Linked DNA regions of Lytechinus pictus. The protein of the gene in region 1 binds, or shares a complex with, the protein of each later gene. Links are inferred from orthologs where the notes say so. Each region holds a gene or a part of one and is shown in the gene's direction. Other genes may lie near its edges.

What was found. Proteins that work in one complex are often made in the same cells at the same time.
Region 2: the proteins of non-structural maintenance of chromosomes element 3 homolog (region 1) and non-structural maintenance of chromosomes element 1 homolog are in contact, whole or in part, in a crystal structure (PDB 7DG2), measured with the Xenopus laevis proteins. The link is inferred for Lytechinus pictus from reciprocal best matches to the Homo sapiens genes NSMCE3 and NSMCE1. Residues at the interface, in XP_018121157.1 of Xenopus laevis: Gly57, Glu58, Val60, Gln61, Tyr62, Leu64, Ile65, Lys66, Gln68, Lys69, Val82, Thr100, Gln102, Gln103, Val104, Phe105, Gly106, Phe107, Asn123, Leu125, Gln126, Arg127, Val128, Gly130, Asp131, Gly132, Met133, Arg134, Asp136, Glu137; in NP_001083134.1 of Xenopus laevis: Ile5, Glu7, Gln10, Arg11, Leu13, Gln14, Ala15, Met17, Ser18, His19, Leu30, His33, Leu37, His38, Leu54, His57, Leu58, Pro60, Leu61, Phe62, Met63, Val84, Asn86, Ile88, Thr89, Met91, Ala92, Ser93, Asp94, Gln149.

What each region holds. Positions count from the first base shown.
Region 1 is NC_087247.1:43,388,255-43,395,544, reverse strand, and holds the start of non-structural maintenance of chromosomes element 3 homolog, read left to right. Parts: upstream 1-4,251; 5' UTR 4,252-4,624; intron 4,625-4,651; exon of another isoform or gene 4,652-4,756; intron 4,757-7,290. Other genes in the region: NADH dehydrogenase [ubiquinone] 1 alpha subcomplex assembly factor 3-like, read right to left, coding at 1,922-2,013. UniProt on the Homo sapiens protein: Component of the SMC5-SMC6 complex, a complex involved in repair of DNA double-strand breaks by homologous recombination. The complex may promote sister chromatid homologous recombination by recruiting the SMC1-SMC3 cohesin complex to double-strand breaks.
Region 2 is NC_087261.1:31,457,241-31,465,390, reverse strand, and holds the start of non-structural maintenance of chromosomes element 1 homolog, read left to right. Parts: upstream 1-5,130; 5' UTR 5,131-5,245; intron 5,246-8,150. UniProt on the Homo sapiens protein: RING-type zinc finger-containing E3 ubiquitin ligase that assembles with melanoma antigen protein (MAGE) to catalyze the direct transfer of ubiquitin from E2 ubiquitin-conjugating enzyme to a specific substrate.

The sequences.
Region 1 (7,290 bases):
TCTTCTCTCCAACCCTTTTTTTCTAAGTTACAGAAGTATCTGGAACTCTTTTCGCCTTCTTCAGTCCATTGAATTCGAGAGCGAATAATCAAACCTTGGGTTTCATCATTTAAGATGTCATTTAATGACTTTTAATAACAGTTCCCTTTCCTCAAGAAGTGTCAAGATTATTATCTGTATCAGTACTTAATTTATTATCTAAATTTTGAATATCTTTTAATAGCTGTTTCTTTACATTTTTTTTCTTTCTTGTTGCGTGTACAATAATCTATACAAGTACCAGTAATTGTGCACTTAAGAGTCCCATAAAATATTAGGGTTACATTCACTTTCTGAATGAGTTTGATGCGCAAGATTTGCAATGGACCGACCACACACTGATTCCTATATACCCCCTTCAAACTTTGTTTGGCGGAGGTATAATGCACTTTTCAATTATATTCCTGGCCCTGGGGGTCCCGGGACATAGCCGGGAATGTATAAGACTGTCCCTGGCCCACAATTTGAAACAAAATTTTGACAAACTTTACAAAATGGTCCCTTTTTTTTATACGCACTGTAGTTGCCGGTTCGACATATGATAGTTCTTATTTTATCCAAAAGATATTGAAATTTACCGTCATTTTGATATTAATTTTCTTAAACCCGGGCAATTGAATTTGAGAAATGCTTGCCCACACATCATTTCTAGTTGCCTCAGGCAAGCAGGTTTGTTGCACCCTGAGGACAAATTCTAAAGAATAGATCAATTAATGCAAGATAAATAAACGAATGAATGAATGGATAAACGAGGAAATATCTAAACATGAATAAATAATTTCATAAGTAAACACCTACAAAAGGCTACATGCAAGATTTATATCTAGATCTGAACTGGGTTCCAAAAGAATGATTTATATGTGTGAGGAACTCGATGCTGGCTCTAAATCACCAATTTTGAGGCTAACTGAAGGATGGATATGGTCTTATGGAGTGAAATCAGGATGGAAAGTAAGAAATTAAGCTTCTGATTTCTGGAATGGAACTAGACCAAAAGCTTCGGTCTCTGTTATGTTGGTTGTTCCGCTGAACTCCGTTGGCTCCACTCACCAAATACAGAGACCGAAGTTCTAGCTCAATCTGTACAGGGGACTCATGACAATGGCCATATGTTTATGTATTTAGTTTGGATAAAACAGGGAAGTGAAGTTGCGCGACAGCCGAAGTAAGTCACTGTTTTTTCCCCTTTTAAGTTTATTTTCCCCGTTTGGTGCATTTCAGGCCAAAACGGAATAATAATCTTGACTTTATTTTGGTACAGTTCTTTTTATATATTTTTATGAAATAAAGGCAAAAATCGATGAGCCCCGTCGGGGGGATTTTGCATTGTTAATCCCCTAATGGTGGCTGCACGATAGCGAGCCATCTGTGTATGAGGAGAAATAAAAAATAATAAAAATGTTAAAAAACTCCTCGAAACAGACGGCTGACAGCTGTCTAGAATGGAACCTGCACAAACATCAAGTTAAGACTTTTTGTAACGAGTCACAGACACAGGAATCAGGATGATTTTATAAATAAGACTGAGGATGAAAAAAATGTATTTGCAAATAAATATACCAATAAATGATTTAAAAAGACAACAAAAGACATCAGCAACATCAGCGCCTCAATCAAGCACACATGTCTTCCTTCAGTTAGGTGGCCACGCCAATTATATTATCGCGGTATGCAATTTCTGATCTACGCAAGTGAGCGGGTGATATCATCTTTCTGTGATAAATGTGTTCGAATTGTACATGGGCTAACTAACGTCATGGTCAATGAACAAAAATGTGGAAATAAATGTATTTACTCTTTCCTCCCGCTCCCGACTTTTCTACCAGCAAACAAGCAAATGATGGGGCCCAATATCAAACTTCAATACGAAATTGCAAATCACCTTTTGCCAGACGACAAGCTGGAAAGAAACTTCCAGTGGAAGAGCGCAGTCTTTTCGAGACTTCTGAACCCAGAGACAAAACTAGATGCCATGTTTAATGTTTAGCTGTCGAGTATACACCACAATACTATACCCATACTCGGAGATTGTTATGCAACGTCGATCAGGCGCGCGCGCGGGCCGCGCATAGGTGTGCTGCTCTGCGTTCTCATGTCAATTACCGGTATTCATTTTCTTTCTTTCTTTCATGTGCCTTGAAAATGTATCCACTAACAAAGTTAGATAAACAAGTCGCCGATGATTTTTTTCTTTGTTCTCCTGATCACTTCATAATCTTAATTTGTAAATATTAGTCAATTAAGTTGTTTATGCGATGCATAGTTTGTATGTTGATGATTTATTAATAAAAACATGACATGTTTATGTCGTAAAATATGAAAGTCATATTTAAGAGGTAAACAATCAAGTGGAATGACTATCTGCTGTCTCACCTGCATCACGCGATATAGTAGCAGTGCTGACTTTGAAAACTAATATAATTATTCACAAAAAACACCATTCATATATAATGATACAATACTATATACGATCATTGACATTTGAACTTGATCATGTGACCTAAAACTTGTCAGTGCACTTGATTACCCCTATATCCACATTTTATACATTATATGACAGCAAATATAGTAAGTTACCTCTAAAATAGCCAAAGTTCAATGACCTTAAATGACCTTTGACTTTGCGGTCATGTGACCTGAAACTCGCACAAGATGTTCAGTGATACATGGTTATACTCTTATATCCACGTTTTGAACTAGACCAACAGGCCTACACTTACAGAGAATTCAACAAATACGTCCAACATGGCCAAAGTTCATTGACCTTAAATGACCTTTGACCTTGGTCATGTGACCTGAAACTCGGACGGGATGTTCAAAGATACCTGATTACTCTCATGGCCAAGTTTCATGAATCAGATCCATATAAACTTTATTATGATGGTAATTCAACAGATACTAGCCAAAATTCATTGACCTTTGACGTTGGTCATGTGACCTGAAATTCGCACAGGATGTTCAGTGATACTTGATTACTCTTATGTCCAAGTTTTATGAACTAGACCAATAAACTTTCAAAGTTATGATGGTAATTCAACAAATTCCCCCATTATGGCCAAAGTTCATTGACCCTAAATGACCTTTGACCTTAATCATGTGACCTGAAACTTGCACATGGATGTTCAGTGATACTTGATTATATACTATTATGTCCAAGTTTCATGAATCAGATCCATAAACTTTCAAAGTTACGGATGGAAATTCAACAGATAGGCCTATATATAGGCCTACCCCCAATTTGGCCAAAGTTCATTGACCCTTAATGACCTTTGACCTTGGTCATGTGACGTGACACTCAATGATCAGGATCGATGTTCAGTAATACTTGATTAACTTATGTCCAAGTTTCATGAACTATAGGTCCATATATTTTCTAAGTTATCATGACGTTTAAAAAAATTAACCTTAGGTTAAGATTATGATGACATTTCAAAAACTTAACCTTAGTTTAAGATTTTGATGTTGATTCCCCCAACATGGTCTAAGTTCATTGACCCTAAATTACCTTTGACCTTAGTCATGTGACCTGAAACTCAGGCAAAATGTTCAGTAATACTTGATTAACCTTATGGCCAAGTTTCATGAACTAGGTCCATATACTTTCTAAGTTATGCTGTCATTTCAAAAACTAAAAATTATAGATTAAGATTTGGTGTTGACGCCGCCGCCTAAAGCGGCGCCTATAGTCTCACTCTGCTATGCAGGTGCCCGGTGCATGCAGGTGAGACAAAAATTGGGCGAGGCCTAGCTATATGACGTCAATTTAAAAAAAAATGCCCAAGTGGCACCCGTCGGATTCTTGAATTAGACACCATACACTACAACTTTCAGCAAAAAATTGTATATATACCGTACCCATAGAGATATATCTCTATGACCATACCCAACTTGACGGTTTTGCAATAATTTTGATCATATCTACCCGACTGTAATCTGGGCATTCTAGAAAGTACATTTTTTTCATAATGAAAACTAATATAATGCGAGCGCGAAGCACGAGCTGAAAATATTTGATATTCTGATCTGAAAAAGGGTTAATTTAAGCACTATTTCAAGCACTGTATAGGGAAATTCTGAAGGGGGAGTGTTCATACAAAACGTTCATTTTTATTAAATTTCTGTCATTTATCATACCTATCAGATTTCCAGGGGGTGCTGTCTATGGAAAATAACACACGTTTTGTATGACAATAAATTCCCGTTGTAATCGGCTTTCCATACTCGAGCTTCTCTCGATCTCGCGCGCTACCTCGAATTTTTCTCCAACTATCCACCGCGCCAGCGCCAGGTAAGGGGGGTTTTTCTCCGGCACACGCCGGGCCGGCCGGGGACGCAGGCTGGCAGCTAGCCCGCACCGTGCACCGTGTCCGTGACTGCATGCGCAAGTGCCACAACCAAGACACTTCTCTCTAGTCTCGATCTCCACTAGCATCTCAACTGTTCTATTCAATCAAAGTACTCTGACTCTGACCTGAAACCACCAAGGCGCAAGTCTTCATGAAACCATCTCTAACAGTACCGGTACGGTACCGTAATTAGTTTGTGCTGATCTTACACTTGGCCTTACTTTTCGCTCATTGAATTTGTAAGTTTTCTTCTATTTTTTTAACAGCAACTTTGTCTTGACTTTGCTTTGGCCTTTGGCTTGGGCCTGGCTTTGGACTGGCCGGGAAATCGGGCGCCCCTACGACTTTACGTTAATGATTTCAGTGCATGGGTGAGTGGACAATGAAATGTTTACTTAGTTTTAATGGATATGAGGTTCCGATGTTCAGGATGTTCGGATACTTAAAAATAAATTAAATTATAAATAAAGCCAAGGCGCAATTCGTTTGCCCTTGCTTGTCTGACTTTAACCCAGAGAGCTCCCGCCCGCACAGCGGGCAGGAGCCCAGAAGCTTACCGTGTATTTTACCATTGTCACCGGACTAGGGTGATTTATGGTCTAAATATTTCTCCAAATGAATTGTGAAAACAGAAAGTATACAATTACCATGATTATATGGATGAAGGTCTAACGAGTGGCAGATTCCTGACATCTGGGCACAGTCTGGAACCTCAAAAAAACGAAAAGTTCTCTCCTTCTACCCCGTCTCGATCGGCCATTTTTGTTAAAAATCGTAACAAAATGGCCGATCGAGACTGGGTAGAAGGAGAGAACTTTTCGTTTTTTTGAGGTTCCAGACTGTGCCCAGATGTCAGGAATCTGCCACTCGTTAGACCTTCATCCATATAATCGTGGTAATTGTATACTTTCCGTTTTCACAATTCATTTGGAGAAATATTTAGACCATAAATCACCCTAGTCCGGTGACAATGGTAAAATACACGGTAAGCTTCTGGGCTCCCGCCCGCTACGCGGGCGGGAGCTCTCTGGGTTAGTCTGACTTAAGACGATATCTAGAAAATTGGTGGCCCCGGCCCGGGGCCTGTCTCGCCCTCGGGTAGGAAAGAAATTAATTAGATGTAAACATCCCTAACAACCTCGGGCCACCTTGAGAGGTAGGTCTAGTCACGGCCAGGCCCGGCCCTGGGCCTGCCCTGGTCCACCGATTTGTAGATGGTAAACACAAATCTACCTCGAACCTGTCTCAGTCCATTTGCCAGCTGTCGCAAATTACGTCAAAGCGCAAAAATTTCCAGGTTCAAAAGAGAGGAAAAGTGTGACAAGCAAGAAGAAGAAAAAAAAAGAAATTAAAGAGAAAGCAGGAGGGGGAGAAGAAAAGGAAGAAGAAGAGAAATAAGGAAGAGAAGAAGAAGATGAAGAAGGACACAAAGAAGAAAAAAGGAGAAAGAGAGGAAAAAAGAAGAGAAAGGAGAAGAGGAAGAAGGGCAGAAGAAGAATTAGAAAAAAGATAGTAACAAGAGGAGAAAGAAGAAGAAAAAAGAACAAGGGAAGAAGGAGAATAAGAGGGGGAAGGAGAAGAAGAGGATAAAAGAAGAAGAGAAAGGAGAAGAAGAAGAATAAAGATAGGAGGAAGAAGAATAAAAGAAGAAGGGAAGAAAAAGTAGAAGGGGAAACAAGATGAGAAAGAAGAAGAGAAAAAGAAGAAGAGGAAGAAGGAGAATAAGAGGGGGAAGGAGAAGAAGAGGATAAAAGAAGAAGAGAAAGGAGAAGAAGAATAAAGATAGGAGGAAGAAGAATAAAAGAAGAAGGGAAGAAAAAGTAGAAGAGGAAACAAGAAGAGAAAGAAGAAGATGAAAAAGAAGGAGAAGAAGAAAGAAGAGGAAGGAGAATAAGAGGGGGAAGGAGAAGAAGGGAAAAAGAGAAGAGGAAGGAGAAGTCTTAAAAACAAAACCCTTGACAAGCATTCGTATCTGCGCGATTCTAATAAAAGATACGCAACGAGCACGAACTTTATGAATTTAGGGCATTTCATGTGACGGCCTCAAAATGCAGCCTTTCTCATCAAAATCCCCGAATCGTGTGCAAAGTGAATGCGTGCGCAGACATGGGGTATCATTTTTTTTCAATCTGAAAATGACTGCCCAAGGTTTTTTCAAGAAAATCCTATATTTTCTTTCATTTTTTAATGAGAAATTTGGTACATTTACTCTTAATAATGTAAGGAACATTATTAATTGAAAGATTTTGTGAAATAAGAAGAAATTCATGTTAAATCTTAACTCAAATTGTTAGGTGCGCAGACTTGGGGCCCACCATCATACATGTATGGCAAGTTCCCCCAAGTCTGCGCACACGCGTATCTGCGCGATTCTAGTAAAAGAAGATACGCAACGAACACAAACTTTACACATGCAATACATAGAAAGATATTCATTAAAGAATCCAACTCAAAATGGTGGAAAAATAATGAATTTGGGGCATTCCATGTGACGGCCTTGAAATGCAGCCTTTCCCATCAAAATCCTCATATTGTGTGCAAAGTGAATTGGTGCGCAGATATGGGTACCATTTTCTTTTTCAATCTGAAAATGAGTGCCCAAGGTCTTTTCCAAGAAAATCCAAGATTTCTTCCAAATTTTTATGAGATATTTTGTACACTTACTCATAATAATATAAGAAACATCTGAAAGATTTTGTGTAATAAAAAATAATTATGGTAAATCTTAACTCAAATTGTTAGGTTCGCAGACTTGGGTACCACCATCATACAGTGATAGTTAAACAGCCCAGCATTCCTCTTTTAGCATGTGTATACACATTTGAGTTACAATTACATCAGAGAAGCAAATCAACAAACAAACAACTAATGGAGTGATGAGAAAGTTTGCAATTAAAGGACAAGT
Region 2 (8,150 bases), on another chromosome or scaffold:
CGATCATCGTGCGAGTGTTGTTCAACGTTGCACGACTTGGTGCGAGAGGTGGCACAACTAAGTAGTCGCATTTACTCGACTGGAGGTCGTACAGCACTTGCACATGTGCTAGCGACCTACATGTACAGAGACCTGTCTTGCGACTGGGTGCGATAATATGATGGGCCATAAGACTGTTGCAAGACCGATCGCAACGGCTTACAACATTGCACTACCGTTGTATGCGACCGTTCCCCTCGCAATCCCCCGTGCAACACTCGCATGTGATCGCACGAGCACAATAGGATCATAAGCGACTTACTCGTGCAACGGGTTTTACTGGTTGGTTTTGTTGTACGACAGCTGTTGCAACTGTGAAAGCCTCTGTGCGATCTTATGAGATGACTGGCGATTGATGCCTGTTGCAGCCTGTCGCACGACCAAAAGGTCGCAAATGATCGTACGTCAATTGTGAAAGGGGCTTAATAGGGGATCTTTCTACATTAATAATGCGAGCACAAAGCGCAAGCAGACAATTTTTGATATTGTGATCTGAAACTGGATAATGATTTGAATAGAGAACAAGTTGAATATCTGAATAAACATGCGCGTGTTTCAGATTTAGACCTAGAATCTAGGCATTCTACACCTCTTTTATCATGAAAAATCTAAAAAAGAGTCCATTTCAGCTATATATTTCAAGCACTTTGTAGGAAAATTGTGAGGTGGATATGGATCGCACTTAATAAAGAGCTGATAGTTTTTATTGTTAATTGAGTTTTGACATAGGACCGGGACATCCTTGGGACATGTCATATGAAAATGATGACTATCTTCCTATTCCTCTTGCTAAGCGCGAGATGAAACAAAAGAGACAACTTAATCGTTAAATTATTAATATCTTATTTATTAATGCCTAATGAGGGTGAGAAATCTGATGATATTATGGCCTGAAAACTGGACATTTCAAGCAATTTTGTAATTATGAATAGAATGCATCAGTCAAAATATTTTTTAACCATGAATGCGAGCGCAAATTGCGAGCCAATATCTTTGATAAACTGTCATGAAAATCAAAATTGAGACATACATAAATCGCCAATTAAAATGCGAGCGAGTAGCCAGCGCTATCTGATACGTTTTGACAATCAGACTTGATTTTTTTTCAAATTAAATGGAATACACAAAAATAAAAGGTACTTAATAAATCGAAATTTGCGAGCGCTCAGTGCGAGCAGAAAATTTCAATATTCAGACCATGAAGCTGTCACTTTTACAGAGCACTTTTTAAAAATCAGTTTGTAAATCACACAAAATAATGAAAGTTCGATTTCCGAGGTGAAATGTGTAATGTATATTGACTTCCAAACTTGATATTTAAGCTACATATTGAAAAATCACCTGACAGGCAATGCGAGCGCGAAGCGCGAGCGAAAATTTCATATAGTGACATGAAAGATTCTTTTTATTTTCCAAGTCTTCCCCTAATCTTATTTTAGTCACTTTGGAAAATTTGACAAGCCCCCCCCCCCCCAAAAAAAAAAAGGTTTTTACCCAAAAACGTAAGGTCATTTAGTCCAAAATACATGTAATATTTCGAATGTGAATGATGCATTTTTCTCCATCATAAAAGACCAAAAATAGTAGGGGGGACATTTGATATTGTGTCCCCCCTACTATTTTCGGTAGGGGGACACTTCCCCCCTGTCCCCCCTGGGATTTCCGCCCATGTGCGCGACCAAAAAAACACGTAAAAGGATGTCTTTTTCAAGATAGGGCACGTTACGTACGTAACGTGATAAGGGTGTCAAAACACAAAAATAATGAAAAAAGGGTATCTATTTCGCTAGGAAAGCTACGTGTTTAGGGTCTAATTTTGGGGGATGATAAAACAAAATTAAAATGCTGCATAAAGGATGTCCTTTTTGCCCCTACACGTCGTGTTAAGAGTCCCGATTTGCGTGAGGTGAGGAAGGTGGGGGCCGTACTAAAACAAATGTTGTGTAAATTACCCGGGGGGGGGGGGGCACTTCCATTGACGAGTGGATACCATGCGCGACCATGGGTCTCGAAAAGCACCCTAAACACGTAATTTCCATATTCTGAAAATGCATCCCTTAATAAGTATTGGCGTGTGAAACCCTACCCTTAACAAGTATTGGAAACAAAACGATACTCTTGGCAAATATTTCCTGAAATGAACCCTTAAACATGTACAGGAATGTTTTTTTGTTTTGTCACGGGTCCTTCGGACGTCAGTTTTACTTTGTATGTACTGTACATCATTTGGTTTAGTACGACCCCACCTTCTACATCACGCGCAAATCGGACTCTAAACACGTAGTGTTGGGGCAAAAACTAAAGGACATCCTTTATAAAACATTTTAATTTCGTTTTATCATCCCCGCAATTTTGACCATAAACACGTAATTTTCATAGCAAAATAGATACCCTTTTTTCATTATTTTTGTGTTTTTGACACCCTTATCACGTTACGTACGTAACGTGCCCTATCTTGAAAAAGACATCATTTTTACGTGTTTTTTTTGGTCGCGCATGGTATCCACTCGTCAATGTAAGTGGCCCCCCGGGGGTAAATTAGGTAAAACCGACGACCGACGGACCCGTGACACACCAATAAAATATCGCTTTATACTTGTTTAGGGGTTCATTTCAGGGAATACTTGCCAAGAGTATAGTTTTGTTTCCAATACTTGTTAAGGGTAGGGTTTCAGACGCCAATACTTGTTAAGGGGTGCATTTTCAGAACATGGAAAATACGTGTTACCCGTGGTCGCACATGGTATCCACTCGTCAATGGAAGTGCCCCCCCCCCCGGGTTACAGGGTAAGGTAGGTTTTCACTCACACGCCTATACTTGTAAAGTGATGCATTTTCAGAATATGGAAAATACTTGTTTAGGGTGCTTTTCGAAACCCCATGGTCGCGCATGGTATCCATTCGTCATTGGACCCCCCCCCCCCCCGATTCCATCCCAGAAGGAGAAACCAGTTCCACTGGACCAGTAAGACCAGTATAATTTTAACTGGTGACTCTGGAAATTGGAACATCGGTTTACTGGTCTAACTGGTCATACTGGTCCAGTTAAAATTTTACTGGTCCAGTTAAAAATTAAAGTGGTCTTGAATTACTGGAATTTTATACTGGTCTTGTTTCTGGTGGTCTCACTGGTCTTAATAATAATAATAATAATATTTGAAATTTATATAGCGCATAATAGTCAAAAGACTCTCTATGCGCTTTACAAAATATATTCAATAAATAATACATTAAATCTTATCTGAATCATACAATAAACCTAAACCTTAATCCTAAAATACTTAATACAAATTAGAACAAATTAAATCAATACATAAAGTTACATCATTAATGAAATGAAAACTTACAATATTTAACAACATAATATATTTATCATCATAAAATACTATTTTGAAAATAAGTGAGTTTTGAGCATTTATTTAAAGATGGGGAAAGATGGTGCAGTTCTTATATTTAAAGGTAGAGAATTCCAGAGTACAGCGGCAGATAAAGAAAGGGCTCTTTGACCATATGTATTTGTATTTGTGGAGGGAACAGTGAGAAGATGTTGTGAGGATGATCGAAGGTTACGTCTTCACACTGGTATCCAATTTAAGCGGGTCTTTACTGGTATTTTCTCTACTGGTCTGACTGGTCCTCAAACTGGTCGAACTGGATCAATTTAATGTGTGTGTGTGTATTTGAGTTTTGTCAGACGTGTATCAATCAGATATGATTATAAACGTCTGGGACCGACCTTTAACGTCACCATCCGAAAGACGTGACCAGGGATCGAACCTCGAATCTCTGCATCAATTTGTAACTTCCCCACATAGCTTGGATTACAGGCGCACGCCACAACGCCCAGTTACATGCATTTGGTTTGTTATATACCATGGTCAGTGAAATGTGATGGAAAAGATGGTTAGTAAATTAATCTTTCTGCTGTTATTTTAAATGTGATATATGAAATTACACATTTTCATTGTGAATTAGTTCACACACTTATTCAGAAAGTTTTTAAACAACAATGAGTGCCATTGCAAGGATATTCCATTCTAAATCCTGATTTTTCTTTTAAAAACAGGAAATATGCAAATGAGGTAAACCACGTGATCAGCATCATCAGAATTACTGGTATTACTGGTCTTGACCAGTTCAATTTCAAACAATTTTACTGTAGACCAGTTGACTATATCAGAGGAATATATCTTGCTCTTAATCATAATTAAAGGAAATAATTATATTTCAATGATAATGTTAATACTTGATAATTATGATAATGTTAATAATAATAATTACAATATCAATAACAATGATAACAGTAATAAGAATGATAACAACAATGATCATAATAATCATAAAAATAATAATCATGATAATTATAAGAATGATGGTAACAATCGATAACGATAATAACTTTCTCTGAATTTCAAGATTCATTTTCCATAATTCGTCAAATGATCTGACTTGAAATAAAATCATTATTTATCGGACCAGTAACACCAGTTTGATGAAAAACAATTTAACTGGTATTACTTCTTTGCTTCAACTGGAATGCAATTGTTTGAACTGGTGTCCAGTTTATTTTTACTGGTCCAGTTAAAAATCAACTGGTCCAGTAAACATATACTGGAAACCAGTAAAAATCTACTGGAAACCATTTATTGGACCAGTAACACCAGTTTGATGAAAAACAATTTAACTGGTATTACTACTTTGCTTCAACTGGAATGCAATTGTTGGAACTGGTCTCCAGTTTATTTTTACTGGTCCAGTTAAAAATCAACTGGCCCAGTAAAAATATACTGGACACCAGTAAAATTCTACTGGAAACCAGCAAAAATTCTTACTGGTCTTACTGGTTTTTCCTTCTGGGATTTTAAAAGTATTTGTTTTTTACAATAATATCTTGACTATCAATTGGACCTCGTGGTCTTTAAGAAGCTGCATATTCAAAGATAGCATGAAATTCATCACCAATACTGTCACTTTTACACAGAGTGCAATATTTTTCATCATAGCATGTGTCGTTTAAAAAACCAAGGGTCGGCCATGGGGGCGGGGGGGGGGGGAATGCGTCATACATTGGGGGAAATCCCCTTTTCAGATGACGACGGAGATGGCAGCATAAAGTTGTAGGCAGGTTGAACTAGGAGTGGGAATTCGAATTTCGAAACCTTATTTCAAGTCAAGTTATAAATTCAGAGATTTTGAAGATCAATAAGTAAGTAAACAAACTTTGTCGCTGGACTGTAATGTAAAGCTTATTTTAGGTAAGCCCTTTATTGTACCGGTATAGCGTTATTTGGATTTACTATCCTAGTTTATTGAACTTAAGTCACGTTAAGTTAACCATGGCGTGCCATGATAACTCACTGTCACTGACCATGAATGATGACAGTCTTGACGCTGCAGCACCCGCTTCGCGGGCCGAAGCTCCCTGCCGAGCTGCCTGGGCCGTGCTGGGCATGCATTGCTGGGTTAGTCACTTAGTGCGTTATTATAACCTTGTTCGTACTCGTAGGATAAGTGGGTTAGTGTAGAGCTAGGCGCTAGTGTAGTTTCGCACCTCCCCGAATAATGGTTTTCAAACATTTTTTGAAGATACCATAGGCCTAGGCCTACTTTTTATAGAAAAACTCGCTCTAATTCTTGCACTTCCCTAGACACTAGGTCTAGGTGGTACGTACCGTACGCGTACTGACTGCTTATGTGCAGCGCTGAGCTTGATCAAGCGACCGAGTGATTCCGAAATAGGTGTAAAACTTTGTAAAAAAAGTGTCAAAACGGCAAATATTCAACTTCTACTGGACTTTGGAGGCTCAGATGCAAGTATTTTAGGTTGTGAATTATTTAGGGTGAGATTGTACATGTTTGAAAACCATTAAACGGGGAGGTGCGAAACTACACTAGCGCCTAGAGCTAAGTTGTAGCTTGTCGCGGCCCCGGGGGGGGGGGGGGGCACTCAGTATATAATGCATAGTGGGTATGTGCCGCGGAGGGGACCCCCATTTTTACACTCAAATTTCCGTTCCAAGGCATAGCATTTTTGTCTTATTGAGAAAAAGAACAAAGAAAGCCGCTCCAAAGCATAGCATTTTCTTCTTATCGAAAAGCGGCCGCAGAGCGCTGTCCGACCATCGCCTCTGCGCGAGGGCACTTGACGGCCGGGCTGCCAGGCTAGCTGCATCATGCACATCATGCATACGCACTCACACGCTGGCGATCCGTTCCAAGGACCCCCGTTTTCACAAACATTTGTAGTTCCAAAGCCCGTTCCGAGGACCCTCCTTTTTACAATAAGCCCGCTCCAAGGCCCCCGTTTTTTGTCTCGCCCGCGGCACACCCCTACCACTTTTTTGGTCGAGTGCCCCCCCCCCCCCCCCCCCCCCCCCGGGGTCGCGGCAGATCCGGTGCCTGGCCTGGCAGCACTCTTAGTCCTACTCGATACTCCTACCTAGCCTGGAGGCGTCTGGGGAGTAAAAGTCATCTACTCTAGTCTCTACGTAGACCAAAAGATTCGGTCTCTGTTATGTTGGTTGTTCAGCTGAACTCCATTGCCATTGGCTTCACTCACCAAATACAGAGACCGAAGTTCTAGCGCGATCTGTACAGGGGATCAATGGCCATATGTTTATGTGTATTAAGTTCGGATAAAACAGGGCAGTGAAGTTGCGCGACAGCCGAGGTAAGTCACTGTTTTTGTTCCTTTTAACTTGATTTTCCCCGTTTTTTGGCAATTAATGGCTAGAGGGAATATTAATTTGCATTTCGGTCGCGTTAATTTTCAAAAGTTTGATTCATTAAAGACAAAAATTGAAGAGCCCCGACGGGGGGATTTTGCATTGTAAGTCCCCTAATGGTGGCTGCACGATAGCGAGCCGTCTGTGTATGAGGAGAAATTTTAAAAATAAAAAAATGTTAAAAAAACTCCTCGAAACAGACGGCTGCCAGCTGTCTAGTCTCTACGTAGTCTTAGTAGTAGAGTAGATGACTTTTACTCCCCACTGACGCCTGGTTCGCTTACGCATTGGTCTATTCACACTGTAGGTTTTCCCACGGTAAAAGTAGAGCTAAATTATTTGGTAAGGATAACTAAGTTTTCCCCCCAAATTTAATATGTTTGTATATATTCCTTCAATAAATAGTAGGATGGGGGGTTCGGGTGTCCGGACACTATATTTTTGAAGCCCTTCTTTTTTGTCTTTGGATTACACTAAAAAATATGAATTCAATACATGTAGTTGTAATTTGTAATCATCTTCTATTTTGTTCTCTATAATATTTCCTAACATTTTGTACCAAAAATTGATGAAACTTCACCTGTAAAATTTTCCAAATGACTTTCTAAAATTGATCGTCCGGACACACAACCTGTCCGGACACACAACAACTGGGTGTATAATATGAAAAATAATTAAGACGAGCACGAGCGTTGACTTACCAAGTCTGTTTTGGTCGCCATCTTGATGTCTTTGTTATTGATACCTAGATACCACACGTGTGTATAGCTGCCAATTTGAATTTTAAAAATACTTGACTCGGCCGATAAATATCATGAATCGTAAAATACTTGCCTCGGTTGATAAATATCATAATGCAGCGCGAGGATAGCCGGGTAGAGTGCTCAACAGTTGGGAGCGGAACATTATTATTTTTTTTGTTTCTTAACATTAGGAGTGGGCTATACATGGGTCAAAAATACTTTTTTTGTAATTTCAATATGACAACAGTTTTTTTTTATTCCTTGTAATGTATCTCAACATGAAATGATAATATTTTTTGTCTCGAGTCCGAGAAAAAAGTGTGCCGGGCCAAAATCCAAAATGGCCGCCAAACCCCCCAAAATCACAGTTTTGGCCACAACTTCTTTATTTGGTGGTCTTTTTCTCTGGTTTTGGTGTCTATTCATATGTATTTGGGGGCAGGCAATTTGTTTTTCCTATGATTAGTACTTTTAAACCATTATTTGTAGAGTTAAAAGGTAATTATACCTAAATTTTCCAATTATTATAGTTTTTTTCAGCCAAAAAGTAGGTTTTATCGTCCTGGGGTTATTGGATATTAGATGGTACGAGGTCAACAATAGAAAGCAGCTTCATATAGCTATATTGCTTTTATTCCTCTAC